Linked DNA regions of Pelodiscus sinensis. The protein of the gene in region 3 interacts with the protein of the main gene of each other region in a biochemical or structural test. Links are inferred from orthologs where the notes say so. Each region holds a gene or a part of one and is shown on either strand. Other genes may lie near its edges.

Evidence for each region.
Region 1: the proteins of YWHAQ (region 3) and PRKD1 form a complex in vitro, tested with the Homo sapiens proteins (2 studies listed by BioGRID). The link is inferred for Pelodiscus sinensis from reciprocal best matches to the Homo sapiens genes YWHAQ and PRKD1.
Region 2: the proteins of YWHAQ (region 3) and MARK2 form a complex in vitro, tested with the Homo sapiens proteins (2 studies listed by BioGRID, with this or other methods). The link is inferred for Pelodiscus sinensis from reciprocal best matches to the Homo sapiens genes YWHAQ and MARK2.
Region 4: the proteins of YWHAQ (region 3) and CDC25A form a complex in vitro, tested with the Homo sapiens proteins (2 studies listed by BioGRID, with this or other methods). The link is inferred for Pelodiscus sinensis from reciprocal best matches to the Homo sapiens genes YWHAQ and CDC25A.

The regions. Positions count from the first base shown.
Region 1 is NC_134714.1:52,189,618-52,197,404, reverse strand, and holds the start of PRKD1 (serine/threonine-protein kinase D1), read right to left. Parts: upstream 3,019-7,787; 5' UTR 2,842-3,018; coding exon 2,418-2,841; intron 1-2,417.
Region 2 is NC_134721.1:33,913,453-33,921,186, forward strand, and holds the start of MARK2 (serine/threonine-protein kinase MARK2), read right to left. Parts: upstream 3,008-7,734; 5' UTR 2,559-3,007; coding exon 2,502-2,558; intron 1-2,501. UniProt on the Homo sapiens protein: Serine/threonine-protein kinase. Involved in cell polarity and microtubule dynamics regulation. Phosphorylates CRTC2/TORC2, DCX, HDAC7, KIF13B, MAP2, MAP4 and RAB11FIP2. Phosphorylates the microtubule-associated protein MAPT/TAU.
Region 3 is NC_134713.1:27,905,035-27,912,439, reverse strand, and holds the start of YWHAQ (14-3-3 protein theta), read right to left. Parts: upstream 3,019-7,405; 5' UTR 2,863-3,018; intron 1,530-2,862; 5' UTR 1,445-1,529; coding exon 1,151-1,444; intron 1,145-1,150; exon of another isoform or gene 1-1,144. UniProt on the Homo sapiens protein: Adapter protein implicated in the regulation of a large spectrum of both general and specialized signaling pathways. Binds to a large number of partners, usually by recognition of a phosphoserine or phosphothreonine motif.
Region 4 is NC_134712.1:257,276,563-257,283,838, reverse strand, and holds the start of CDC25A (M-phase inducer phosphatase 1), read left to right. Parts: upstream 1-4,271; 5' UTR 4,272-4,434; coding exon 4,435-4,604; intron 4,605-7,210; coding exon 7,211-7,276. UniProt on the Homo sapiens protein: Tyrosine protein phosphatase which functions as a dosage-dependent inducer of mitotic progression. Directly dephosphorylates CDK1 and stimulates its kinase activity. Also dephosphorylates CDK2 in complex with cyclin-E, in vitro.

The DNA.
Region 1 (7,787 bases), on a different chromosome or scaffold from region 3:
AGCCCATGCCACGCCACTGGGCGGGGCCCCGCCGACAGGCCGCGGCGCGGGGATTTAAACCCCGGCTGGGAGTGTGAGAAGGAGGGAGTACCGAGAGCGTCTCCCCCCGTGAGAGGACGACGGATGAGCCCCAAATCGAGGAGGTGAGCCCCGCCTCGGCGGGCCAACCCTAGGTGGGGAGAGGAAGCAGCCCAGGACGGGCCAATGGGGCCTGCGGGCTGGCGCGTTTCGGCTAAAGCCCCGCCAGCCGGACCGGACAAGCTGGACGTCCAAGACCTTAGGGCCCTGGGCTGGGGTCCGTGAGAGGGAGCAGGCCTGGACCCCCCTCTCCCCATCCAGGAGGCAAACCAACCTATATTACAAAAGGACCTAAGAAACTAGTAGCACAATTAACTGGGACTCTGGTGGGACGATCATTAGGGGACTGGACCCGGGGGTTAGGGGATGGAACTGGGTGAACGAACGTAAAACCCCCTGCCTCGCATGGGGGTACGGGGGGACACGTTTACAGCTGGAAAATTCTTCTCCCACCACTCCAGAACTTAATTAAGGGTCTGAAAAGCTTCCTCGTGACAGCAACTTTTAGAGCTTTGGCACATGCATGGCTTGGCTCTTCCTGGCCAGTGCCCTGTTCTAGAGGGACTCAGGTTTTCCCATGGCGCCAGCCTAGCCACAGGTAGTAGGTAGGGTTGCCAGATGGTTGAAACAAAAATACCGAACACCCCCCGCCACCCCCCCCCCCCAAAAAAAACCACTGGGAACAGGGGAGCTGTTGAGCACTGAGACCCAGGGGAAACTTCCCCTTGGTTGGCAGCCATTTTGTGGAACCAGGTAAGCATGGGAGCTGGGGTCGAGGGGCTTGGGGTGCTGGGAGCCAGGGGGCGGGCAAGGGGAAGGGGAGGCTGGGCGCTGAGTGTTTGTAGGGTTGCCAGGTGCCCAGCATTTTCGCCTCCTGGCCAGGGAAAATAAATCAGAAAATACAGAACATTTTAGGTGTCCGGTATTCTCTGAATTTTTTTTACTGGACTGGAGGTAAAAATACTGGACTGTCCGGGTGAATACCGGACACCTGGTAACCGGTAGTAGGGGAAGGAAGGAGCCTGACAGTCGAGCTGCTGGTGAACTCAGCACTTTTTCCCATCTTAGAGTTCTTGGGAGAGTTGAGAGAAGGAAGAGAACTAGACAGAATCCCAAAGATGTATCAACCAGAGTTCTGAACTGAAAGAAATTTCTGGTTTTATATGGCCTTAGTTCACCATGTCAGAACAGTTTAAAAGCCCAAAGGCTATAGTACAGGGGTGGGCAAAAGAGCCTCTGCAGGCTGAATCCGGCCCGCCAAGTGAGTTGATCCAGCCCATGGAGGCCCTGCCGCTTCCCCACCCCCAGGTCAATTAGGGTCTGGGAACAGGGGGAAGCATGCAAAGTTTCCTTTGCCCTGCCAGGAAGGCTGAGAAGGGGTGGGGCCTCAAATGGAAGGGGTGGGGCCAGGATGCTTCCAGGTTTCTCCACCCACAGACCATGATTAGCCTGGGGGTGGGGGAGCACGGGAAGTCTCCTCCCAGCACCTAAGTTTCCTCTGCCCTGCCCCCGCCTTGTGAGAAGTGCTCTTGGAAGGGCAGGAGGAGGCTTTGCATGCTCCCCCAGCCCCAGGCCCTGATTGGCCTGGAGGTGAGGGAGCACAGGAAGTCTCCCACCACCAGAGGCATAGGTGCTTAGAGGAAAGGGGGGGCAAAGAAGCTCCCACACCCCCAGACCAATCATAGTCTGTGGGTGGGGAAGCCTTGAAGCATCCTAGCCCCACCCTTTCTGGCACAGCCCATGGCCACTTCAAAAATCTTTGAAGTGGCCCCCAGCAAAAAATTATTGCCCAGCCCTGGTGTAATACCACATCTGCCTAAGAAATATAATTAAATGAGGAAAAGGAGAGGAGAAAGGTAAGAAATAAGAGAATAGAAGTGAGGAAAGATTTTTTTAAGTTTGGTAAATTTATACCCCACTTAAGAGGCCCACCTAACAACTGTGAATCATGTGTTTTGGTCCTTGTGGCGGGGTCCTCCCCACCCCTTTCCTTTCTCCCCGTGATTAAAGAGCTAGCTATCGGCCCGGAGGCCTAGTCTAGTAGCCGCAATGGGCCCGGAGGCCTAGTCCACAGTCCCAGCAGGCCCTGAGGCCTAGTCCAGCCCCCGCAACAGGCCAGAGGCCTAGTCCACACCCTGAGGGGTTGGGGTAGGGGGGTCCGGGCCCTCCATCTCCACCGGACCCCAACCCAGGGCCCTAATGGTGGTGGGTGGTTCCCACCACTGGCTCAGCGGGGGGAGGAGGGGTTTCCCTGAAACGTGCTGAGCCCACCGGGGCCTTCCCTGTCCCTTGCCCTGGGTTGCTTCCTACCCCAGCCTTGTGGCCAACGGAGGTCCCACCTGGTGATGCTGGGCTGGTGGCGGCGGCAACGTCAGCTGGTCCCGTCTCTGGGGCAGCAGCACAGGGGGTGTCTCCTGCAGCGGGGCGGGCGGCCCCCCGGCGTCGGCATTGGGGGCATGCACGCCCCGGGGATGGTAGTAGCAATAGCGGCGATCCCTCCGGCTCTGAATCTGGTGGCAGGTCCGGCGGCAGGCCTGTAGCTTGGGCCGGAGCTCCTTCCTCCCCGGCGGTCTGCTCCAGCTGAGCAGCCCAGCAGTCTTTTATAGTGAGGCTGCACTTCGAGCATGCCCAGTAGGACTGTGGGGGAGGGGCATGCTCTACCCAATAAACGGGCTCCTCTCCCTCCTGCTCAGTGCGGGGCAGGTTAGCCCCGTCACAGTCCTCAACACAACTCCAGTAGGATTCACAAAGAAGAGGATGCATGTGCTATCAAACCTGCTCCCTTTTATTTATGTCCATCTAGGATAGAATTTCAAAACAGCATATAAACTTGAAAATATTTTCAATTTCTGAAAAACTGAAGTGTTAAACATGTAAATGAAAGACTCCTCTTTTAGTATCAACAGCACCACACAACTGTCATGGCTCACAACCTTATGAAATGGAGGAAAAGAGAAAGGAAGGGAGAGGAAGTATAGATAAGGCTTCTCCATGGGATGACAGACTAACACACTCCCCTCCTCTTGATGTCTTTAAAAACACTCAGAATTGTTGAAGGCATTCTAAAGCATGTTTTTTTTCTTTATTAGTTGCATTTATCTAATAAAATAACTTTTAAACTTTTTTATTGTTTGAAATAGTTATTCCCAGAGTTGCTTACATGTTCTCAAGCCAAATTCTAATTTAAACTGTAATTATTAAGGTTGTTTGGAAAATACTATGCTGCCACACAGATAAAAGCTACAAAACAAAAAGTCCGAAACAAAATTTAATTACTAAGAACCAATATACATACTGGGTTAAGCCATTTATTGATTTTCAGATTTTGTTGACATTTAAACTGTTCCTGATAAATCTTTAAAAGACTGTCCCATATTCAGATTAAGGAACCAATTAATGGTTACACCATTTGCATTGTTGCAGTAGTTTTCTACTATCAGGTGGCAATTTAGAGCCCAACCAGTTGCCAGTGAAGTCATTTTGCCATTGTTATAAAGAAAGCAAAAGCAGACCTGTTCTGACAATCAAATATGAATGGTGAAAAAGAGTATACACTGAGGGCATAATTTTCAAGTGTTAGGTATCTGCCTATCTCTGCTCCTTCTAAAGTTAGGCCAGCATTGAGAGCTGTTGAGAATCATAGAATCATAGGACTGGAAGGGACCTTGAGAGGTCATCGAGTCCAGCCCCCCGCCCTCAAAGCAGGACCAAGCTCCATCTACACCATGCCTGACAGATGTCTATCTAACCTATTCTTAAATATCTCCAGAGAGGGAGATTCCACCACCTCCCTTGGCAATTTATTCCAATATTTGACCACCCTGACAGTTAGGAATTTTTTCCTAATGTCCAATCTAAACCTCCCTTGCTGCACTTTAAGCCCATTACTCCTTGTCCTGTCCTCAGAAACCACGAGGAACAAATTTTCTCCTTCCTCCTTGTGACACCCTTTTAGATATTTGAAAACCGCTATCATGTCCCCCCTTAATCTTCTTTTTTCCAAACTAAACAAGCCCAGTTCATGAAGTCTGGCTTCATAGGTCATGTTCTCCAGACCTTTAATCATTCTTGTCGCCCTTCTCTGTACCCTTTCCAATTTCTCCACATCTTTCTTGAAATGTGGCGCCCAGAACTGGACACAGTACTCCAGCTGAGGCCTAACTAGTGCAGAGTAGAGCGGCAGAATGACTTCATGAGTTTTGCTTACAACACACCTGTTGATACAACCTAGAATCATATTTGCTTTTTTTGCAACAGCATCACACTGTTGACTCATATTCAACTTGTGGTCCACTATGACCCCTAGATCCCTTTCCTCCATGCTCCTTCCTAGACAGTCGCTTCCCATCTAGTATGTATGGAACTGATTGTTCCTTCCTAAGTAGAGCACATGCATTTCTCTTTATTAAACTTCATCCTGTTTACCTCTGACCATTTCTCTAACTTGCTAAGGTCATTTTGAATTATGCCCCTATCCTCCAAAGAAGTTGCAACCCCACCCAGTTTGGTATCATCTGCAAACTTAATAAGCGTACTCTCTATCCCAATATCTACATCATTGATGAAGATATTGAACAGTATGGGTCCCAAAACAGACCCTTGCGGAACTCCACTTGTTATCCCTTTCCAGCAGGATTTAGCACTGTTAACAACAATTCTCTGACTACGGTTATCCAGCCAATTATGCACCCACCTTATCGTGGCCCTATCTAAGTTATATTTGCCTAGTTTATCAATAAGAATATCATGCGAGACCGTATCAAATGCCTTACTAAAGTCTAGGTATAGGACATCCACCGCTTCTCCCTTATCCACAAGGCTTGTTATCCTATCAAAGAAAGCTATCAGATTAGTTTGGCATGACTTGTTCTTCACAAACCCATGCTGGCTATTCCCTATCGCTTTATTACCTTCCAAGTGTTTGCATATGATTTCCTTAATTACCTGCTCCATTATCTTCCCTGGGACAGACGTTAAACTGACCGGTCTATAGTTTCCTGGGTTGTTCTTATTCCCCTTTTTATAGATGGGCACAATATTTGCCCTTTTCCAGTCTTCTGGAATCTCCCCTGTCTTCCATGATTTTTCAAAAATCATAGCTAAAGGCTCAGATACCTCCTCTATCAGCTCCTTGAGTATCCTGGGATGCATTTCATCAGAACCTGGTGACTTGCTGACATCTAACTTTCCTAAGTGATTTTTAACTTGTTCTTTGTGTATCCTATCTTCTACTTTCTTGGAAGCTTTGCTAACATTACATATATAAAAAAAGTTATAAAGTATATATGATAGATATGTATTTACACACAGAGATATTAAAATTAACACTAAATTTAAGGTTACACAAAACAAAAACTCCCAAACTTCAGACTTCAGAGCACTTGCTCGTGGTCATTAGATTATTGGTTACTGAGCATGGTAATGGCACCTCCTCCTGGCCTCCAGAGATCTGTAAAAGTCACTGGAAGAAAGGGAGAACTAGCCTTCATTGCTACATAGATGGAAAAAATGAAACAGGGTCCCATCAAAGACTAGAACTGCCAAGAATCAGAGAATAATGAGGTTTGAGTCATGTAAATGTATTATATATAAAACATGCACACGTAAAATGGGCCCTAGCTCATGACCATATGTATCCTTATTTACTTTAAATTTCAGTGGGAATTTTCTAGGTAAGGAATAAATAGAATCATAGAATCATAGAGCTGGAAGAGACCTCAGGAGGTCATCAAGTCCACCCCCTGCCCAAGGCAGGACCAATCCCAACTAAATCATCCCAGCCAGGGCTTTGTCAAGCCGAGATTTAAAAACCTCTAGGGATGGAGATTCCACCACCTTCCTAAGTAACCCATTCCAGTGCTTCACCACCCTCCTAGTGAAATAGTTTTTTTCTAATATCCAACCTAGAACTTCCCCACTGTAACTTGAGACCATTGCTCCTTGTTCTGCCATCCGTCACTACTGTGAACAGGCTTTCTCCATCCTCTTTGGAACCTCCCTTCAGGAAGTTGAAGGCTGCTATCAAATCCCCCTTCACTCGTCTGTTCTGCAGACTAAACAAAGCCAAATCCCTCAGTCTCTCCTCATAGGTCATGTGCTCCAGCCCCCCCAATCATTTTGGTTACCCTCCCCTGGACCCTCTCCAATGCGTCCACATCCTTTCTATAGTGGGGGGCCCAGAACTGGACACAATACTCCAGATGTGGCCTCACCCGAGCCGAATAAAGGGGAATAATCACTTCTCTAGATCTGCTGGCAATGCTCCTCCTAATGCAACCTATTATGCCATTAGCCTTCTTGCCTACAGGAGCACACTGTTGACTCATATCCAGCTTCTCATCCACTGTAATCCCCAGGTCCTTTTCTGCAGAACTACTACTTAGCCATTCAGTCCCCAGCCTGTAACAATGCTTGGGACTCTTCCATCCCAAGTGCAGGACTCTACACTTGTCCTTGTTGAACCTCATCAGATTTCTTTTGGCCCAATCCTCTAATCTGTCTAGGTCACTCTGGACCATATCCCTACCCTCCAGTTTATCTACCTCTTCCCCTATCTTAGTGTCATCTACAAACTTGCTGAGGGTGCAATCCATCCCCTCATCGAGGTCATTAATAAAGATGTTGAACAAAATCAGTCGTATAACTGATCCTTGGGGCACTCCACTAGAAACTGACCACCAACCTGACATTGAGCCGTTGATCACTATCCGTTGGGCCCAACAGTCTAGTCAGCTTTCTAGCCATCTTACAGTCCATTTATCCAATCCATACTCCCTTAACTTGCTGGCAAGAATATTGTGGGAGACCACATTAAAAGCTTTGCTAAAGTCAAGGTAGATCACATCCACCGATTTTTCCATATCCACAGAGACAGTTACCTCATGATAGAAGCTAATCAGATTGGTCAGGCATGACTTGCCCTTGGTGAATCCATGTTAACTATTCCTGATCACTTTCCCCTCTTCCAAGTGCTTTAAAATGGATTCCTTGAGAATCCCCTCCTTGATATTTCCAGGGACTGAGGTAAAGCTGACTGATCAGTAATTCTCTGGATTGGCCTTCTTCCCTTTTTTAAAGATGGTCACTACATTTGCCTTTTTCCAGTCATCCAGGATCTCTCCCGATCTCCACGAGTTTTCAAAGATAATGGCCAAAGGTTGGGCCCCATTTACAGCAGAAACAATGAGAGCAGATAAAATGAAGAAATAATAGAGAAAACTGATCTTATCTTCGGAGTATTTTCCAAATATTTAATTTCTCTGAAAATATCTACATTTTATCTTAGATCAGAGTTTCCCAGGTTCAAGTCAAGGATCTCTTCCTATGATTATACCTAAAGGAAATATGTATTTCCCTCCAAGCACTACAATACCTAAATGTTTAATAATAATAATTAACAGAGACCTGAAACAGATTGCAGCCTGAGAGTGCAAGGCACTGTACACCGACGGGCTCTGAGCTCACAGAACCTGGAAAGAACAGGATGGGTATTGCAAAAACATACATATTCTCATAAAGGGTAGACACTATACACTCACATGTTCCAGGCAAACATATTCCAGAAAACTGGTACTAGAACATCCCATAAAAACAGCTGCCTCCCACCCCCTCCACCAGGATAACAAGAACATAATGATCCCTGCTAAAGATAAGGTCAGAATGACACCGTAATGGATAGGGATGTTTTGCTCGAACTAACATGTACAAGG
Region 2 (7,734 bases), on a different chromosome or scaffold from region 3:
AGCCGGTCTGAAGTGTCAGTCTGAGATCTGAATTCTCATTATCCAGCCATTCATACAGGGATAAGGGAAGCAGAAGCTTTATTTTTATGCTTTAGCAATTTAAAGTTAAGGCAGCTGAAGAGAGATCATGGAAACAGCTTTAGATCAATTGTGCTTAAATGTCAGCCAAATTTAGTTATTTTGAAGAAACTGTTAAGAACGCCAGATGAAATGAGACCAGTTAATAGAAACAGAGGGAGCTGATCCCCATTCTGAAGCTGTATTCCTGCTTGTTTAAAGGTACCAGAGAAGAAAATTCTATTAATTCTAAGAAGCACCAGGGCATGTTTTGAAACCAGGACCAACTTCACCAACATAAAGCATACATTAGTGGTCAAAGGGCAGCTAGGGCCCTCTTAGCCACACAATACACAAGCGTACATACACAATTCCACACCTCCTCAAGCTTCATTAGTAATGGGGATACAACCACATTAGGGATGCAATAGTGTAGTTGATTAACCAATAAGAAAAAGCTTATAGGTTAATGCTACAGACTACATGCATTCCCTCCGCTGGGCAGTAAATTTGTTAGCAGTATGGTGAGCAGCCTGTCTCAGTCCTGGCTCGTGACAGGTATGAGACCTACCCCCACTGTAGCTCTGCATTTAAAGTGTATTATTAGGAGGTAGGTGGGCAGGCAGCTTGGCTCAGTTCTGGCTCACAATGAGTCCAGGAGCTCAGACCTCTTCCCACCATGGACAGGGGCTGCTGCCTCCCCTATATTAGAGGCAGCAGCACAGGGCAACAAACAGCTGGTCCACAAGAGAAGTTGGTTTTTAAACTGGTTCCCCTCACAGACCAGCACCCACTTGGCACCTGCCCCCCGCCTCCCCCCAGGACTATAGAATAGTCGAGTAATCAATAAGAATTCATGAGGTTACTTGACTATTCAGTTAACCAATATTTAACATCCCTAAACTACATAGCCATCTCAAGACTGGGAGTGAAGCCCATTTTTAAAATACCTTTGCTTTGGACAAAGATAAGGAGGAGACTAAGTAGCATATGGCATCAACCACTTAGAATGAATCAGACTTCATGGAAGGAAGGCTGTTAGTGCAAGTGAAATACTCTTTACAAATAAAGTCCAAAACCATGTTTTGATTACCTTATGCAGCTAAACACAACAGCCAGAGAGATCCTGGCTGCACAGCCAGTCCCTTCTTTTCTCCACAAATCACCTAAAAAAAAATTACTGACTATGGGAAGTTCATGTCTACAGCAGGTCTCGACTCACAAGGGTCATGAGGATTAAAACAGGTTAGATTTGTGTGTCTTTATGAGCTGTTTCTTAAATTCAGTTGGGAATGCAATTTGCTCACTAGTTGTCATCTCTCACAAATGCACCCCTGAAAAAGCAAACCACCACCATGTCACCAGGCATCTTGAGCTGCAAATGAATGAGGCACTTGAGAGGTAAACCTAATAAGGGCATAGGGGAATAATGAGTGAGCATGGAAGTGGGATCTTCCTTCACTATGAAAGCCAAGGAAGGACCTGATGTGATATGGAGCAGCAGAAAAGGCAAAGAGAGGCAGAGCAGGGGGCCATTTCCCTTGCCCATTCAAAACCCCCATCATTCAGCATGGGCTGATGAGGCAATTAATATATGGGAGGGGAAGGAAAGATGGAAAAGATCCCTGCTCCCAATTGCTCATGCATGCCACAGGGAATAAATCAATCCACTGCTCTCTTCTTCCCATTTCAGGGAGATTGAAAGTGGAGCATTAATGCACAGAAGTGGATTACAGCCACTCCTGCATGGACCACTCAGCCTATGGGAATAAGAACTATATAGATATTTATTTGTATCATCCTGCCGCATGCCTCTCTTTCACCAGGGAATCATTACAGGGTTCCAAGTGTCCCTGCATCCACTTTGAGGGAAGATACACAGGGGATCTGTAGCTCTGTGCACAGAGCAGATACATAGTAGTCTCTCCCTTATTTGTCTCAATATCTCATTCTCCATTGACAGCAGTTAGTGATGAAGTACTGGGTATGTGGGAATACATATAATCTCTTCCCTGATCTGCACTATCTCCAGTAGGTACACTATAGACCACAGAGTTTGGGAGGCATGAAGGGACTTACTAGGTGGAAGATACGTATACATACACAGGGGATTCTGTAGGAATCTCCTCTCCTGCCTTCCTGCTCCACATGCCCCATCACAGGGAAGACCAGATGGACCCTTAAGGACTCAAGAAGGATGCATATCGATCTATGAAGAAGGAGGTTCCCACCCCTCACTTAACCATTAGAAGCACAGGATGGGGAGCTGCAGGGCATGGGGTATTACCCACCCTATAGTCAATGCTTGCTCTATCTCCCCCCACCCGGAGCAGGGAACCCCTCTCCTGCCCCCCTGCATTCCCTTCCCTCAGCAAAATACGGCATCCCGCCCTCCCTGCCTCGCTCCCTCCCTCCCTCGGGTTAGGGGCCCCCCAGCCCCCTACCTGTTCCGTGTCTCTCTCATTCACGGTGGGGAGGGGGCTCCGGCCGCTGCTCGACATCTTGGGCCCCCTTGGCCAGCGGCTCCTGGGGCTCCGGCGGTTCCTGGGGCTCTCCTCACACCGGGGGGGGCGGCCAGGCCACCACCATGGGGGAGCCCAAAGGGGGAGGGGGGATTCAGGGAGCCGGAAACCGCCGGGACTCGGACATGGGTCTCCGCCGGGCCGCGATGAGGGAAGCCCGGCCCGGCGGCTCAGGCGAACCCGGGGATGAGGCGCAGGGACCAGGCCGCGCCGCCGGCAGCCAGGCGTACGCGTGAGCGAAGGCTGCACAGAGCCGGGGCTGAGGAGACCCGGAGGCCGAGTGCCCCTGGCCGAGCCGCCTTCTCCGCCCCGAGACCCGGCTCCCCTCAGCGCATCTCACATTCACACAGCAGCAGCGGCAGCAGATCCCAACATGGCCGCCGCCACCGGCCTTCGGCCATTTCCGCCCCCTTCCGGAAACATCCGAGCCGCTCGTCGGAGCCAGTTTCCGCCGGTTCCGGAAACCCCAGCCCCCAACCCCTTCTCGGCAGCTTCCGCCGTCTGACGGAAACTCTCGATTCACCCTCCCTGTCATCGCCAGTTCGCGCCTCCTTCCGGAAACATCCGAAACAGCAGGCGCGGCCCCTTTCGCGATCGGTCACTTCGCCTCCTTCCGGATAAACCCGAAGTTCGCCTTCGGGACAGCAATCGGACACTTCCGGATGAGCGCCCGAGAGTAACCGAAGGCTGAAGATCGGCAGTTTCCGGAATATTCCCCGCCCCCTTGCTGACGCTCTTTTCGGCAATTTCCGGAAACCAACGAACAAGCCGAAGAGGTTTCGACTCTTTCCGCCTTTCCAAGGCGAATAACCGAGCCCGGGGGCGAAAACAGGAGGAGCCGACTAGCCTCGGCTATTTCCGCAAATGTGGTTTGCGCGAGCCCCCGAGGGGGCTTATTCTCCCGTGCGGAGGGGAGCCAGGCTAAAGAGGAGGAAGATTAAATCAGCCATTTGGGTAAATGGGCGCACAAGGATGCACACCCGGCACACAACGGATTGAGTCGCTATGCGCTCACGTACACACCGCATCGTGCAAACATGCACAAGTGTGTGTGTACACCTGGGCGCGTCACACACACACCTGCAAGTGCAGCTGCATAGACACACGGCCTAGGCCTGCAAGTGCCCGTGCCCAGCCGGAGAGGTCCTCGCACTCGCACTCCCATCTGCACCTGCGCTTCATGCGCCCCCTGGAGACGCAAGACTCACCCGTAACGCCCCTCCCCCCGCGCGTCCCTGCCTCACCCACCTACAGCACAGGGTTCCCCCCCCCCGCTCCCAGTGGTCTCTTCCGTGCATGGGGGCTGGCGCTACCCAACCGCCCTCCTCCCCCGCGCGCGCAGTGACGTTCCGAAGCGACGAGACCCCGCCTTCTCCCGGTTGCTACTGCCAAGCCTCGTCACCCAGCCCCACGGGCTGATGTGCGCTAGCGGCGCCACCTGCTGTGAAGCGGTGGAACTGCAGTTGGTGCCGGCCGGCAGCAAAGGCTGACGCAGCTGGCGCTTAGCACCCACTGCAGCGTCCTGGAGATGCGATGGGAGCTGACTGCTGCTGACGACGTGCAGCGCCCCAGTTAGCCGGAGCCGGAGTGTACGAGCTCCAGGAATTGGCAGGGGGAGCCCTCGCATGGCTTGCACATGGCCACAGCTGCATGCAGTGCACACACACAGACAATCTGGGTCCCCACTGCCTCTTTCACACACTTCCTGGCTGGGCTGCACACACAAACATCTGCATATCCACAGATGCTCACTGCTGCATGTACAATCATGCACACTCACATTGGTACAGGCCCATAGTGGCAATCACATACAGTACGGGTGGGGAACCTCAGGCCCAGGGATCAGATGTGGACCCCGGCTTGCCCGGATCCGGACTCCGAGATTCAGGGACTCCCCTGCACTGGGGAGCCTGTGCTGGTGCTCCAGTGCCCCCTCTCCCTCCACTGCCCAACCACAGGGCTGGAGAACACAAAATCTACTAGGCTGGGCCCGCCAGGCTCTGGTGTGCAAGGGCAATGTAGGGAGTGTCTTTCTCCTCAATCAGCCGCTTCAGTGTGTGTGTTTTGTGTGTGGCCCTTGACTGATTTTTCTATGGGTCACATGGCACCAGACCCAAAAAAAGTTCCCCACCCCTGACATACGGGAATACTCCAACAGCTACAGATACCCACCCACAATGACATGCAGATGCATCCATAGCTTCATGCACATGGACACATCTGCAGCTGCATGCATACACCTATAGTTGCATGCATGCTCATGTAAATTTGTGCACACACAAAAATACACATCTGCTTGCACAGCCATGTGCACACACTCAAGCACTCCTACCCTGAGTCACAGCTGCCTACACACACCTGTGCAATGTTGATGTGCAAACACATCCACATACCTTCCCAGAGTCTCAGCTGCATGCACATACTCACACCTACATGCACACACTTGTGCAATATCTCTGCATCCACATACACACTAGAGCAGGGGTTCTTATTGCATCACAAGCCCCCTTCTGACAATAAAGTTAATGCATGATCCGGGGGGGAGAGGTTGGAGCCTGAATCCCACCACCCTGGGTGGGAGGAAAGGGGTCCACAGTCCAAGCCCCACTGTCCTGGGTGGGGTGGAGCATGTGCTTCAGCTTCAGCCCTGGTTCCCAGCAAGTCTAATGCTGGTCCATGCAACCACAGTTTGAGAAACACTGTACTAGAGGATGCTCATATATCATGTAGCCAACATTAGCACCACCAAGTGGGACTGGCTGATGCTTGCATTTGTGAATTGTTCCCAAATCTGGGTCTCTGTTGATCTTCCCCCAGAACCAAATATCCTGTAAAGAGGTAGAGATTCCAGTCAGAGAGCTAGGGCATAGTGAGCTAGCAAAGAAGCAAGTCAGGCCTCCAGTGCAGTGCAACACCAGGAGGATTATCAAAACTGTTGTGTTCAAACACACCATGACACATTGCACACTGCAGCAGAGCTACACACTGCCTCTCTGCTTAGCAGCTTGGCACACAGCACTACATCAGCAAGGAGGGACTGCTGATGAGGCCAGTTCCCCAGGGATCCCTAGCCAGATTGCATATGTAGCACACCAAGCAAAATTTTCAGCCTACCACTGGAGGGCCCCAGTCATGAACAGAGCTTCATGCCGCTCTTGAATGTCCGTCCAGAATCACGCAGTGGGGAACTACTTTGTGCAGCTTTATTGTTGTTCTGTGTATCCACGATCGTCTGGACCAAGATCAAGACCCCATTGTGTTGTGGCTTCACAAACTGACCAAGATCAGGGTCTCCATTGTGCCATAGGCTGCATAGACACAACCTCCCCCCCAGCTGAAATCACAGCACTATAGGAAAGGCAGCGTGGGCCCCTAAGAGCTTAAAATCTAAACAAAGGTTGGGGGGAGATATGCAGGCCCAGAGACGAGAAGGCCCTTTCCCCAAGGTCAGTGGCAGAGCTGGGAACAATTCCCAAGCATCCTGAGTTCCAACCCAGTGCCCTACTCACTGGGTCCCATTATTCCCCAGGGCCATGGTTTGCAAACCTAGAGGCAAAGGGAGAGCCAGAGCTTGGACCCAAGAGTGTTGACTCAGAGCAGCCTGTGTTTAATAGCAGCTAGGGCTTGTTGAGCCAGCCTGACCTGCTTGGAAGGAGGTTACTTTGGCTTTCTACTCCTGTCTCAAACCCCTGAGTCCTGGGGTTGATGCCAGGGATAAGGAATGCCCCATAGCAGCCAGGAGGTGCAGAAAAATATGGTCCCTCATCCCTTGTGGCTTCCAAGGGAGCAAAGAATGTGCAATATGGGGGCAGGAGACTGCGCCACTCAGCTGCCAACAGGGGCAAGGTTGCTGTCCAGCAGAAACACCTTCCAATCAAAATTGAAGGGAACTGGGGAAAAGCAGATCGCAAAGGAACTAGTCCTAGGTTCCCTGGGGGATCAATTGCAGGCTGGCCAGCCAGTAGTTCGTTGTTCTCCTGATTTGTTGGGGCTTCCTCAGGAACCAGGGGCTGGGCTCTGGAGTGTTTGCCGTGGATGATTTATGACGGCCATGGAGAGAATGGTCCTTGCAGCAAAAGGCACCTCAAGGGCTGGAGCGGGCAGCAGAAGACAGTCAGCAGGCTGGAGGGAAAGCCAAAGAGGGGGGACAGAAGGAAACCTAGAGGCTGGGGAGAGGAGGCAGGAAAGGAAGGAAGCCTGCTGGCTGGAGGGGGGCTGTGAGTCAGGATTCCCCCACCCCCACCCCAGCTCTGCCTTAGAGTAGGAGTTTCCAACTATGTAGCCCCATCGCGGCAAGAGGGAGGTGCTAGTGGCGCAGTCACATGGTCAGATGGAGGAGGGAGGAAGCTGCTCTGCTGTTAACTCTTTCTTGTTCTGTCCCTTCTCTGGCTGCTGGACTGAGGGAGACTCAGCTTTCCCTGCTGCAGAGGGTGGTGCTGAACACCAATGGGGGGGGAGTTTTTGTGCACTGGGAGAGGGTTTTGTAGGGACCATAAGAAGGAGCCCTGCTCCCGGTGGAGAACCAGAGCAAATCAATGTCTAAAGCCAAGGCAGGAAGGAGCAAGACACTCCCACCACCGGCTGGCATGGCCCTGGGGATCATTAGAGGCACCACACATGCTGTCCCCCCTCTGGGTCCTTTGTCCCATCCCCAGTCTTGTATGCCTTGGACCCCCTCTACTCTAGCCCCATCAAGCCCCCCAGTCCTGTGCCCCCCAGACCACTTCCCTCCAGCTCCCTCTGAGTCCCCCCAGTTCTGTGCCCCCAGACCTCTCCCCCTCCATCCTATTCTGAGCCCTCCAGCCCCCTCTGAGCCCTCATAATTCTGTAACCACAGACTCCTTCCCCACCAGCCCCCTCTGGGCCTTCCAGCCTTCTCTGAGCCCTCCCCCCCAGTTCTATGCCCTCAGACCCCTTTCCCTCCAGTCCCCTCTGAATCCCCCAAATCTGTGCCCTCCAAATCCCTTTCCCCTCCAGACCCGTCTGAAACCCCCTCAATCCTGTGACCCCAAACCCGTTCCCCACCAGCTCCCTCTGAGTCCCAAGGCCTGTGTTCCCCAGGCCCTTTCTTCTCCAATGAGTTCCTCTCTAATGTGTTCCCCACTGATCCCCCTAGTCCTATGTCCCCTAGACCACTTTCCTTGGCCCTGTTACC
Region 3 (7,405 bases):
ACTAGGTGGCAGCATATATTGGAATGTGTATCTCCACACAACCCAGAAAGATGTCCCCCCCCCTTGTCAAATGAGTTAGAATTCTTGGCTTGAATTTGCTTCTCAATAACTACTGAAAAAGACAACTAGTCTCCTGATCACCTGGATAAATCTGAAACACATTTATTTTATGAACTTGCTATCACCTCTTCCTAAGATACCACCTGAAATGCTGTTTTATCATTATACTGGTGATAAAGTAATTCAAGATTATTTATTGCTTCCAGCTGTATTGCACATCTAACTTTCTGCAGCCAGAACTTTAATTGATCCTCTGGAATAGGGTGCTGCATATTCTTCACGGCTGACACAGATTCAGCACCCACTGTATTGCAGCATATTTGTACTATTATGATCATCTAGATGACTAGGGTACAGTAAAAAAAATACAAACATTGCTGTACTATTATATATTCATCTGCAGTACTTCTTTCAAGCTTAAATCATTGGTAGTTTTGCATTATTCTACAACCATTGCATCTCTATTGTAATAGGCAGTCTGAGAAGTATATTTGCAAGTGCCGAATGCCTGCTTTTCTACAGATTTAATACTTGACTCTTAAGGTTTTATATTTTATACAGTATATTTTTACTTCAAGACCTCTTATGAAATTATTCATGTTATACAAATCTCCTCTTGACCTAAGGTAACAGAATTTTGTGACCACCACCCAAATGAGCACTCCAAAGCCGGTCATTCAGATATTACACTGGTTAACCTGGATGGTTACAAAAGCGTTATTAACCAGGAACCACAAAAGGAAGAAGCATCCTTGTTTTTCCTTCCAACCCTGTTATGCTCAACTATCTGCTGTACTTACACAATGGTGCACACAATCTCGAGCTCAAATCCTTCCGTAGCCCCCATAATTACAGGAGTGATCCATATTGATCTTCCCTCTCACTGCATCCTCCTTTCCCACACTTCATTACAACTAACTATCCCTGCTTCCCTCAGTAGAGTGGTGCAATGGCTTATCCCACACCCCAGCAGAGTGTTGCACACAGATCTCCCACACCCAAACCTATGTATCTCAACAGAGCTAAGAACAGATGCTTTATATGTCACTTCCAAAGGACTGCAAGATGTATCCCCAGATCCCCCACTCACCAGCACAGTGGTGCAGATGGATCGGAGCTCAGACTCTACCTTCTCCCGATAGTCCTTGACAAGCTGCATCTTCTTGTCATTGGTGTCTGTTTTCTGCTCAATGCTAGAGATGACCCTCCAGGCAGAGCGCCGTCCCCCCACTACGTTCTTGTAGGCTACCGAGAGCAGATTGCGTTCCTCATTGGATAACTCTGCACCCTGTTCGGTTACTGCCTTCATGCAGGTAGCCATATCATCATAGCGTTCGGCCTGTTCAGCCAGCTTGGCTTTCTGGATCATCTCGGTCTTCTCCATGGTGGCTGGCAGTGGGGAAAGGGCAGCAAGGCAGAAGGAGAAGCTGATGCTGTCACACTGTCAAAAGGAGAAGGCACCTCAAAACCTGCCAGAGGGGAAACAGATTAGCCATGACTCTGGGAGCCAAAAACTACAGGACACCACACTCTGTCCTTCTCCAAGACTCAGAAGACATCAAGCCAATCATCATTCTATTAATCAAGAATCACAGACCATAAAGGATCTCCACCACTACACCACCTCAAAAGCTATCTTGGAATGAAGAACCTTAGGCTTATATAGCCAGCCCATTTCACAGGGAACTGGTCACAGGACAAGTGCTCCAGGGTCTCTACAGAAGGTTAATAACCCAGAAACCATGACAGGGGAAAAGATAACTCAATCCCTCCCCACTGGAGCACAATCTACAGAGCAGATGGTGGGAAAAGGCACTCCAGTCTCTTCAGAGTGGCTTTTGTTTCCACCTCCACTTTCCTCCCTCTCACTCCTGTGTGCACTAGCCAGGCTTGCAGCCCGGGAATACTAAAAAAAATTAGAGGGGGAGGAGAAGAAATAGACGGCTGGAAGCCATTAACCTAAAGGGGCTATCTCCAGGAGCCCTGCCTAAACGCTTCCCTCTACGCCTTGTTTCAGAGAGATTTGCCTTAAACATGGGTACCGTGGGGAATGGGGCTAGTAGAATAACCACCGACCGAAGGGCAGAGACAGGAGGACGAACAGGATGAGACTGCCCCAGAGGACACGGGAAGGAGAAGACAGGTATCTAGCGCGCGTCTGGGGACACAATGGCCCCGGAACAAGAGGATCCGAGGACGGCATGGCAGTTCATGCTCCCGCGGGGCAAGCGGGGCCCCCGCTGCTGGCAGAGATGGGGGGGTGCCCCGAGATAAGGAGACACAATAGGGGAATCTTTGTCCCTTGGCGAAGGAGGCGGCGCGGGAGCAGGCCGGGCGCTCACAGGGATCCGCGTCCCCAGCGCAAGGCCGGGGAAGAGGCAGCACTGGGAAACCACTGCCCGAACCTCCCCGGCAGGGCGGCGAGTCTCGATCCCTCGGGGGAGGGCGGGGACGCCGGAGTCCCATCCCCTTGGGTGGTGCGGCGGGCAGGACTCGCTCAGCCCGGGTGGGTGGGGTCTGCAGGCTGAGCCCGGAGCGGGCGGGGGAGAGGCAGCTCCACGCCTTAGGCCGGGCCCGGCCGTTCTGCCGGGGAGAACGGCGCTCGGCAGCTCTCTGCAGGGCAGGGCGTGGCCCGTGCCCAGGGGAAAGCGCTGCGTCCCGGGGCGCCGCCGGGTGCGAAATGGCGGCGGCGCTGGCGGCATCTCCCGCTTCCCGGCGCCGCCGGAGACTCCGCGCCGCGCTCACAAAATGGAGGACGCGGCGACCTTTCTCATTCCCGTGGCCGATCTCGGTCCCGCTCACCTGGGTCCGTTCCGCAAGGCCGGGCCGGCTCACGCCGCTGGATCGGGTGCGCTCCGCTCGGGGCTGGGGCGAGGAGAAAGAGCCGCTCCTATCTCAGGCGAGAGCCAGCGCTAAAGGGCGTTGGCACAGGCAACCCTACCCGCTGCTAGACCCGCGCTCCTACGGCCAATCCGAACGCCTGCTCCTAGCCGGGACCCGCCCTTCGCGTGCGATTAGCCAATCCAGACGTAGCGCGCCGTCGCGGGGGTGGGCACAATCAGGGCGCAAGCTCGGTTGGTCCGTGGGCTGCGGCTGGGGCCACGGGGTTTCCTCCAATTAGATCCAGGGTGAGCTAACGTCACTGTAACTATGGTAATACTGCTACACCCCCCCCCCTCCTCCCTTCCACGCCCTGCCCTAGCACTGGAAGCTTAGTCTGGGCGCGGCACGAGACAGTGCGGAGGTGCGGCTGGGCGGCTCGTGCTGCTGCGGCTGGGCGGGGCAGAGGGGGACTCCGGGTTCGGAGAGCGGGTGGCAGCGCGGGGCGATGGAGGGCGGGCGTTGTAGGGAGGGAGCGTGCACTGCTAGAGGGGAGGTGCAGAATGGACGCTGAGGGATCACTGGGGATTGATGGGGTCGGTGCGGGCTCCATGCGGCGCTGCCCCACCCCTCCCCTTTCCCCCCCTCTTTGCTGCCTGCCTCTATCTGATAGAGGCAGCAAGGGGGAAGAGCGACTAATCGAGTAGCCCTTAACATCCTTACTCTGATGGAGGGGTGGGGGCGGCAGGAGGGGGGATAGAGGTGGTGGGACGTGCTGTGAGCTATATTACTGAAAGGTGAGTATGAAGGTTAGTTAAGTGCCACTGAAGTTTAGGGTGCTGTGAAAGTAGCTACTGGGGGTTCAAAAGGATGTGGCTATGGCAGTGGATAATGAAAGACCAGTGAGCTGTTGAAGGTGGGTTGTAAGGATTAGTGGATTCTGGGATGGATAGGGTGGTGGATGGTATTACTACAGGAAAATTTATGGGGAATAGGTGGGTGATGCTGGACTAGTTTGGTTGGGGTGTGCTTGGGGAAATAATAGATGGATATTGGGAGGTGTGGAAAATGATTGTGTGTTGCTGATTGGTAAATGGGTGGGAGCTATGAGGGAATGAAAAGGAGTTAACATTCAAAATTATTTTTCTCCTCCCCTTCAATAATAGTCTGTGTCTATCCTGGGTTTTCATGATGGTCAGCATATCTTGAGAAATGACTGAGCACTTTTTAAAGGCTTTTTTTCCTCTTTTGTGTATTTGGGAATAGTTGATGAGGGGGTATTTGTAGAAGGGTGTAGACTTGAGTGGATAAGTTTGCCTTTTTCCTTCGATGGAAGTGAAAGATTCATATGACAAAACAAAAAAATGTGGATTGAGTTTTCCTTGATTTCAGGCCATGTCACCAATCTTTGATTCCTCAGCAGTAAAAATATGCAGTTGATGATGCAGACAAGAACTCCTCCTTTTCCAAGAGTTAGACATTTATGATGGAAGGAGTTATGTCTTTTTGGAGCGGTTAGTCTGGAGTAGGAGTGAGAGGAAGGGGGACAGGGAGAAAAAAGGTAGGAAAAGGGATGGTATAAATTTGTCCTCGTTTCTTTACCTAATGATGGTGTTTGGAAGAAGTTTGGTAATTTTTCATGTAAAGGCAAGAGCCTCAGAAGCAGGGAAGGGTTATTTTCTCTCTGCTGACTAGAAAATAAGTTTTGCAGCCAGCCCTGGAAATCTTTTTCCTGGCAACCAGATTTGGCTGCTATGTCCCTTGAAGGTGTCCAAGAAGGTAGAACAACTGCTCTGTATTGTGGATAAAAAGGCTTGGTATGAAGGGCTTGGTTGGAAAGTTTAGGATTCTTCGATCCTTGTGTTAATGGACAGGGGAGACAAGGCAGGAAGAAATCCTGGTTTAAACAAGAAATTGTTCAGTCTCTTCCATTGGTTTCATCTAGAGGTTGGCAATATCAGTGGACAAATATTCCAATCTTATGATCATACATGCTGTTATATGTAAGATAAATGTTTATTAAAGTGTCATCTGGCCATGATTTAATTAAAGGTGACCCCTCCCCAACAGTCTTGCATGCAATTCTTAAATACAGATTGAATGATCCCGCTGGACCAGTTTTGGCATAGTTGATTTTAGACAGGCACTGAGTACAGGCCGCTTGAGCCTAAGAGGAGGAAGAAGTATTGTGGTTATGTTTTTTATAGCTAATCTGAAATGCAGGAGTTGTACCTCAAAGCTGAATTAAATGCATACTTTAAAAATGAGTAGTCCTGTTGCACCTTAGAGACTCATGATTCTGCTACAGGACTACTTGTTGTTTTTAAAGTTACAGACTGATATGGCTACACTTCTGAGACTTTTTAAATGCACACTTGTGAGAGTTCTGGGACTTATTCTAATAGGCAGATCATCCTGCTGCATTGCAAAGTTCCTGCATGACCTAATATAGTTTCTTACCACAATGGTTTTGGGATCTCCAAGGATGACATTTCTCAGTAACTTAAACATCAATCTTGGATGATGAGCTCTCTATATTAATCCAGGATTTCATGGGGACCATGAAGATGAAGGTATTAGTGGCTGAGATTCTTTATTTAGTGTGTGGTTAGGACTTCTGTTTGTTTAAATCTGCTGTCTGTTAATTTCATTGGGTGATCCCTGCTTTCACAAGAAGTAAGAGAAGTCAAAGGGAGAGTGTTCTCCCTTCACCTTCCTGCAGTGTGGACAGCACCAGAAGTTCAATTAAAGTACTTTGACTTCAGCTACGCAATTAACATAGCTGAAGTTGCATATCTTAATTCAACCTTATCCCATAGTATAGACATATCCCAGTTGAGCTTCTGCTGATGAACCCTATTCAGTGCCTACTTGAGTCTGAATCATGGAGAAGAGCTAGTTGTATGAAGCTCACTGACACAATGCTGAAAGAACTGGAAGATATGGCAAGGGTTATTTCTGACCCTTAATTGGCAGGTTTAAGCTAGCCCAGTGTAATAAAAGTTTGCAGTCTGTGGTATCCCCAGCTGTTGTTTAATGGGTCATATAGACCAGTGATCAAGAAAACTCTCTTCAGTCACCAACAGGGCAGGGGAATATAATTGTTTCTTTTGGTTGCAAACCTTGCTACTGCAATCTATTCCTTTGTATTCTCAAGACTAAATTTCACCGTAAATCAACCTGAAAACTGAATAATAGAAAATTAGGGTTGGAAGATCTCAGGAGGTCATATAGTCCAGTGGTTTTCAAACTATTTTCCTTGTGACCCATTTGAAGAAAATTATTGATGCCTGCAACCCAACATAATTTGACTAAAGCGTGGCCTCTGGGGTGGGACTGAGGAAGAGAGCTTTTGGGTGTAGGAGAAGGGGGCTCTGGCTTTGGGGGATTAGGGCCGAGATAGGAGGGGATTATCTTGAGTAGCTTCCCGTCAGCTGTGCAGCCAGGGGTGTTAAGGCAGGCTTCCTGCCTCGACTGACACCATAGACCATGCTGTGCCTCAGAAGCTGCTGGCAGCAGGTTCTTAGCCAATGGGAGTGTGGAGCTAGTGCTCAGGGCACAGGCATTGCGCAGGCAGGACTCCCCAGCTGATCTCAGGTTCCGGGGAAGTGCAGCACAAAGCTGGGGGTCAGCTGGGGAGTCCTCAGCTGACCCTGGGCTCCACTGCCCTTGTAAAATGGGTGGAGGGGGCAGTTTCAAAGGGGAACCCACTGCACAGCTCCATGTGGCACTTCCCCAGAACCTGGGATCAGTTGAGGACTCCCAGCTGACGCCGGGCTCCCCGCAACAGTGGAACCCAGCGTCTGCTGAGGGCTCCCCAGTTGATCCCGGGTACCAGGGAAATGCTGTCGGGAGCCTAGGGTCAGCTGGGGAGTCCCCAGCTGACCCCAGGTTTCAGGGGAGTGCCACTCAGAACTCCTAGGAGCATTCAGTGTAGCATGGAGCCCGGGATCAGCGGGGGACTCTTAGTCCCCAGCTGACCCCAGGCTCCATGGCTTTGAAATGCACAAGACTGCTGGGGACTCTTGTGCATTTCAAAGCAGGCACCCACATGCAGCCCGGAGTCAGCGGGACTTCCTGCTGGCACCGGACTCTATGCGGAGTTCCTCATTCTTCCTTTGAAATGTACAAGTGCCTATTGACTAGTCAATGGAAAATTAGTCAATTAACCACATTTTAACATCCTTAATTCAAAGGGATTAGAGAGGCTATCAAAATAAAAAACCTCAATATTAGTGGGGGATTTCAACTATCCCCGTATTGACTGAGTACACATCACCTCAGGATGGGATGGAGAGCTAAAATTTCTTGATACCTTAAATTACTGCTTCTTGGAGCAGTTGGTACTATTTGGTATCCAGGAGGTGGGCGGGCATTAGCCCGCCCACATCTAAAGGACCTCCCCCCATCCTGAGGGGAGGGTCCACTGAATCTGGAAAAACCAACTAATTACTGGGGACAAATAATGAAAAAACAGGTACGGGTGTGAGGGTCAAAGGGTTAAAACGAGGGAACTGGATGGGGA
Region 4 (7,276 bases), on a different chromosome or scaffold from region 3:
TGACAAAATGGGACTGGGCCTGAGCCCTGAAAGGTTTAGTGTCCCCCACCACTGGCTGGGAGCTGTGTGGGACCGACCCCCTGAAGCAGCTGGGAGCTCTAGGGCCCCCCCATCCCTTCCCCTAAACTGCTGTCCCGCCTCTTCCCACCCCTGCTCAGCCTCTACCCCCATTCCACCCTCAATCCTCCTTCCCTGAGCAATTTGACCTGGCACTGGCAGCAGGGGTCAGGCCTGCCCCATACTCCCGGCAACAAGCAGAGGGACCTGGCTCCAGCCTGCTCCATTCTCCAGGTTCACAGCCACGTCACTTGCGGAAAGGCCCTAGCCTACCCCACCCCACCCCACCAGCTCCCTGCTGTGTTGCTTCACTTCCCACAGCCACCAGGTACACCTCCTCCTTATGTCCATCCAACAAACGTACTCACGCAGTGGGGAAAGATTGTACACCCAGGGACACATTGCACGAGGACAGGGTCCCATCCAAGAGTGGGAGACTATAACATTGGCTCACATCAGCATCTGGAACAGCCTGAGTCAAATGGGACTGTCATTGGGGTTCCTTGCAGGGTTACCAGTAGCTTGATGGGGCCTTTTCTTCTTGCCCTGGAACCCACAGGCAGTGCTTGGCTGTAACTGTAGTCCATGAACAAGCAGTCGAGATGGAAATGTCTTTCCCATCCACACTCATAATATTTTCCCAGGGTCATTCCCACTGGGAATGGGTTGACGGGTTGCCATCTAATCAGCATTCTCTCTGCCTTCAACAGGCCAAGTTGATAGATCATTTTCCCTGGCTCGTGAAGATCGGTAACTCATTCTAGCTATTGGCTTGGATTCCCAGGGTTCTTGGTCCTTTGACCTTGTGCCTCCAGCCCCTCAGCCTCCAAGTAGTCCTCTATCAAGGAGACTGCTCCTGTAAGTGAGGTTGAATAATGTTGCCTCATTCATTCTTTTCCTATGGTGGAGAGAATCTGAATGAACTGCACCATCATCGCTACCTGTGCCACTTGGGTCCCCTCAGCTTCTCTGGCTCCAGCCAGCACCAGAGCTTTTGGGCCACAGACCTTGGCCTAGTTCTTGGGGTGCTATCACTCCCGCCAAAGTCATTGCTGGTATGTTTCAGGGTTGATGCCCATTGAGTCAAGTATGGCCACTTTGACCAATGGGAGCTGACAAATTGTGCTGCACTGCCCCCCCACCTCCCAACGGCTAGGGATCAGCTAGCCAATACCAGTGCACCTTGTCACAGTGCTACATTAACAATACATGCCTTGTCATCATCAATACAACATCCTAGGTGGGCTCCTGACATTGGGAAGGGTATTGTACAAGTACTTCCTGGGGGGCTCCCTAAGCACTGAAGCTGGTTGCAGAGCCTGTGGGAGCCTAGGGCTGACCCCATCAACAGACCTATTCCCCAACCTTAACTCTGTTCCCAAGGGAGATTTCCTAGGCCTGCAGATGTCCTGGCCAGCTCCTCCATGAGCCTTCGGTGTACAGACAGCTTGGATTGGCAATTGAAGCTCCTCTCAGGCACTGCGTGGCCCTGTAAGGGCCTCTCTCCCATTTGATCCCTCTGGTGCATGGTCAAGATGGACAGGATGGTGAGGTTCTTCTTCCATATGATACACTTTTAGAGCTGCTTCCTGCTATACATTCCTTGGTGCATGATCAGACTAGAGAGCTTGTGATGCTGCTGGTACATGAAGCAAGGTCTCGTGCACAATGAGGTAGGACTGCCGCTAAAGCATTTCTGGCACTGGGCACACCATCAGGGCCTCTCTCCTATGTGGATTCACATGTGCAGGTTGAGTTTTGATACTTTTCAAACTGATACGGTCTCTGGCCACAGTTCGTTTATTGATGGGTCCTGAGCTAAGACAATGTGTTGAAGCTGCTCGCACACAACTTGTACAGGGGGAGCTCTCACCCACATGGATGCACATGTTCACAGTGAGATTCTTCTGCTATCAGAAGCTCTCCTTACATTGTGTGTTCCTGTAGCTCATCACTGGCTGGGTAGAGTTGGGAAGCACCAGTTCCTCCCGCAGGCAAAACAGCAAAGGAGATTCCAGACATATTGCTCCCTTTTGGGTTCGGCGTGGTCATGTATCCTACATGCAGTTAATCTCTGGCTTTCGTTCCAGGAGTCACCATCTAGAATGGGTGGAGGGGAAGCCAAAGGTGGTTTGCATTGCACATCACCACACCGAAAGCCCCCAATGTGCTTCTCTGATTGAGGGGCGCCATTCTCAACACCCTATTACAGTATTGTCATCCTCAAATGGTTAAAAATGTGCAAAACCCAGAAGAGTAAGTAAAGTAAAATGTGGGCTCTTTTTATTCCACTGTTTTTGCCCTTAGTTAAGCACTTCAGTCACATTTTGAATCTTTTCTCTGTAATCAGGAGGTCTAACAATCCATTTGGTTGTTTCATGAGAGTGGAGCTAAAAGCTAGGCATTATTATTCTTAGTCTCACTTGATCACATGCCTCCAGTAGCCCAGGCTTTGAAGAAAAACTTCAAAGGTTTCGTTAGTCTTTAAAGTGCTACTAGACCATTGTTGTTTGTTTAAGTTTTTCCTGTTACAGACTAACTCGGATACCCTTCTGAAGCTTTGGAAGGTTGTGACACTTGTGGGAACTGCCCCACGGTGTGGCTTTAAGTGGCTTGTGGCTTCGGCACTCCTGCTATAAAAACTATTCCGGTGCCACTGGACTTGGGCTAAAACCGCAGGATTTGGGAACGGTGCTCTTAAAACCAGGCGGAAACGTTGCCCCATAAAAACGTCCTCGGGGGGGGGGGGGTTCCCACGCCTGTTTCTCGGTGATTTCCGTGCCACGGATGCTGAGGTGATGAGGATCTGCGGATGCTGAGGTGATGAGGATCTGCGGATGCTGAGGTGACAAGGATCTGCGGATGCTGAGGTGATGAGGATCTGCGGATGCTGAGGGGATGAGGCGAAGGATCTGCGAATGCAGAGGTGACAAGGATCTGCGGATGCTGAGGTGATGAGGATCTGCGGATGCTGAGGTGACAAGGCGAAGGATCTGTGGATGCTGAGGTGACAAGGATCTGCGGATGCAGAGGTGACAAGGATCTGCGGATGCAGAGGTGACAAGGATCTGCGGATGCTGAGGTGATGAGGATCTGCGGATGCTGAGGGGATGAGGCGAAGGATCTGCGGATGCTGAGGTGACAAGGATCTGCGGATGCTGAGGTGATGAGGATCTGCGGATGCTGAGGTGACAAGGCAAAGGATCTGCGGATGCTGAGGTGACGAGGATCTGCGGATGCTGAGGTGACGAGGTGAAGGATCTGCGGATGCTGAGGTGACAAGGCAAAGGATCTGCGGATGCTGAGGTGATGAGGATCTGCGGATGCTGAGGTGACGAGGCGAAGGACCTGCGGATGCTGAGGTGACGAGGATCTGCGGATGCTGAGGTGATGAGGCGAAGGATCTGCGGATGCTGAGGTGACGAGGATCTGCGGATGCTGAGGTGATGAGGCGAAGGATCTGCGGATGCTGAGGTGATGAGGATCTGCGGATGCTGAGGTGACGAGGTGAAGGATCTGCGGATGCTGAGGTGACGAGGCGAAGGACCTGCGGAGCCAGCCGCCGACGTCCCCCCGGGATCCGAGAGTCAAGCTGGTTCTTTCCCACCCGGAGCAGGGTCTCTAGACAGAGAGGTCCTAGGAGCTGAGCTACCAGTTACCAGCCATGCTTGTGCTGCCCAAATGGCATGTGATTACACCCATGGCCTCCTCATGCATCCCCACCCCCTCCCAGTGTTGCCCTCAGCGATGGCTCCTGATCCTGAGCTGCTGAGGTGAGGTTACTAGAGACTACACATCCCAGCATGCAACGCTCCCCATTGAGCCGAAGGATCCAGGGATCCAGCTGGAGCGTTGCATGCTGGGATTTGTAGTGCCACTGGCGCGCCTAGGAGGGCGGTGGCTGTGAGTGTCAACGAAAAAACCCGCCGGCGCCCAACGGGCTCATCGGCAATTCTACTGGTCAGGTCTCCTGTCACACAATGCAGGGGCGGGAGGAAGGAATCTTTGGCGGGTTTCAATTGGCTTTCCCGCTTGCCGTCCCTTCTGTTCTATTGGCCAGCCCCGCTCTGTGGGCGGAGGAAAGACGAAGGCCAATGTCTTGGTCATTCCACGAGGGGAGGGGGCGGGAAAGGAAAAGCGTCCGGTTTGTGATTGGTCGCGAGGCGCCGCTGCTCTTTTTTCACCCCCTCCCCGCCCCAGAGTGGCGGTCCCTCAGAGAGGTGGGCGGGGCGCGGCCAGACGGCTTCTGATTGGCGGGCCCGCGTTTGGCGCCAGCTTCGGGTGTCCGCGGGGAGCTCGCGCGCGCGCGCTGTGCGGCTGACGGGAGGGCCCGGGCGCGGGGGTCGCCGCCGACAGCAGGAGCCGCCCGCCCGCCGCATGGATCCCGGCCCCGGCCCCGGCCCGCCGGGCCCCCACCGCCGCCGCCTCCTCCTGCCGCAGCTGCCGGCCGCCGGGCCCGGCGTGGCCAAGTCCCTGTTCCCCGCCGAGCTCTCCCCGGTCTCCGGCCTCAGCCGCACCATGAAGCAGCTGCAAGGGCTCGGCTACAGGTGGGACCGGCCCGCCCCCTGCAGCCCCCACATCCCCCCCCCCGTCTCCGCACTTCCCCCCTCCCCCACACTGCCCCACGTGACACCCGCTCTTCGCCCCCCCCCCCCCCCCCGTCAGCTGCCGGAATCCCGCAGGGGCGTTTTCTCCCTCCCCACGTGTGGCTCCCAGAGCGCCCCCCCCCAGCCTGGAACCTGCCCCCCCCACTAACCTCATCCCGCCTGCAGGGGCCCCCCCCCCCACTAACCTCATCCCGCCTGCAGGGCCCCCCCCCCCCACTAACCTCATCCCGCCTGCAGGGCCCCCCCCCCCCACTAACCTCATCCCGCCTGCAGGGCCCCCCCCCCCCACTAACCTCATCCCGCCTGCAGGGCCCCCCCCCCCCCCACTAACCTCATCCCGCCTGCAGGGCGCCCCCCCCCACTAACCTCATCCCGCCTGCAGGGCGCCCCCCCCCCCCACTAACCTCATCCCGCCTGCAGGGCCCCCCCCCCCACTAACCTCATCCCGCCTGCAGGGGCCCCCCCCCCCTAACCTCATCCCGCCTGCAGGGCGCCCCCCCCCACTAACCTCATCCCGCCTGCAGGGCGCCCCCCCACTAACCTCATCCCGCCTGCAGGGCCACCCCCCCCCACTAACCTCATCCCGCCTGCAGGGCCCCCCCCCCCCACTAACCTCATCCCGCCTGCAGGGCGCCCCCCCCCCACTAACCTCATCCCGCCTGCAGGGCGCCCCCCCCCCACTAACCTCATCCCGCCTGCAGGGCGCCCCCCCCCCCACTAACCTCATCCCGCCTGCAGGGCCCCCCCCCCACTAACCTCATCCCGCCTGCAGGGGCCCCCCCCCACTAACCTCATCCCGCCTGCAGGGCGCCCCCCCACTAACCTCATCCCGCCTGCAGGGCGCCCCCCCACTAACCTCATCCCGCCTGCAGGGCCACCCCCCCCCACTAACCTCATCCCGCCTGCAGGGCGCCCCCCCACTAACCTCATCCCGCCTGCAGGGCCCCCCCCCCCCCACTAACCTCATCCCGCCTGCAGGGCCCCCCCCCCCCCACTAACCTCATCCCGCCTGCAGGGCGCCCCCCCCCCCCACTAACCTCATCCCGCCTGCAGGGCGCCCCCCCCCCACTAACCTCATCCCGCCTGCAGGGCGCCCCCCCCCCCCCACTAACCTCATCCCGCCTGCAGGGCGCCCCCCCCCACTAACCTCATCCCGCCTGCAGGGCGCCCCCCCCCCCCACTAACCTCATCCCGCCTGCAGGGCGCCCCCCCCCCACTAACCTCATCCCGCCTGCAGGGCGCCCCCCCCCCCCCCACTAACCTCATCCCGCCTGCAGGGCGCGCCCCCCCCACTAACCTCATCCCGCCTGCAGGGCGCGCCCCCCCCCACTAACCTCATCCCGCCTGCAGGGCCCTCCCCCCCCCACTAACCTCATCCCGCCTGCAGGGCCCCCCCCCCCCCACTAACCTCATCCCGCCTGCAGGGGCCCCCCCCCCCACTAACCTCATCCCGCCTGCAGGGCCCCCCCCCCCCCGCACTAACCTCATCCCGCCTGCAGGGCCCCCCCCCCCCCCGCACTAACCTCATCCCGCCTGCAGGGCCCCCCCCCCCCCACTAACCTCATCCCGCCTGCAGGGGCCCCCCCCCCCCACTAACCTCATCCCGCCTGCAGGGGCCCCCCCCCCCACTAACCTCATCCCGCCTGCAGGGCCCCCCCCCCACTAACCTCATCCCGCCTGCAGGGCCCCCCCCGCAGCCCTAACGCATCCCCAGCCATGCGGCCCCCCCAAAAACCCACTTGTGCCTGTGGCCTCGCCCCCTCAGCTTCCATAGCCCCCAGGACCTCGCCCCTACAGCGGCTTCACGCCGGCTCGCCCAGACTTCACCCCGCAGCCTCCTTGTAATTGCCTCCGTGGGGCCCCCATCACTCCACCCCTATAACCTTTCTGGTACCAGGCTCCCTAGTTCCTTGGCGCCTGTCCCCTTCCTCTGTATCTGGCTCTCTGGGCTCCAGTCCTGCAGCCTTCCAGACTTCTTGGGCCTGCACTTCTCCTTCGGATGGCTCTCATGACTCTTCCCCCTGCATTCCTAATCTCTGCAGCTCCTGTGAATCCTGGTCTGTCCAGCTCTACAACATATGGCCCCCCATAACCTCACCCATGTAACCACCTTGGCCCCTTTGTTGTTTTTCTCCAGCCCGTTACTCCACCTATATAACCTTTACTTCCACTATATATAGTTCCCCTGAGCTCATTCCTGCAACCTCATGGCTCCCTGGTACTGGTCTGTTTAGTGCACCCTTTCAACACAGCCCACATGGTGCCACATATGATCTCAATATTATTCCTAGTTGCTGCCACATACCTTATGCATGAGTCCCCATGACCTTGTCCGGAGACAGCTATGTGTGCTGTGTTCATTATGGGTACTCAAAATTTCAATTTGCAGGACTGTTAAACTGGCACGTTTTTGCATTGTCCACTACTTAAACTGATCAATTCTGTTCCGAATGGAGCTCATCTACAGTGTTTCTACATTTTAAACCTATTGTGACACTTTCTGGCTGAAACATTGAGTAAAATAACTCTGTTTTTAATCTTTATAGTCAGCATGAAAACTCTCTGCTAATGCTGGAAATGAGGAACAGTAGCAATCTACAAAGAACAGACTC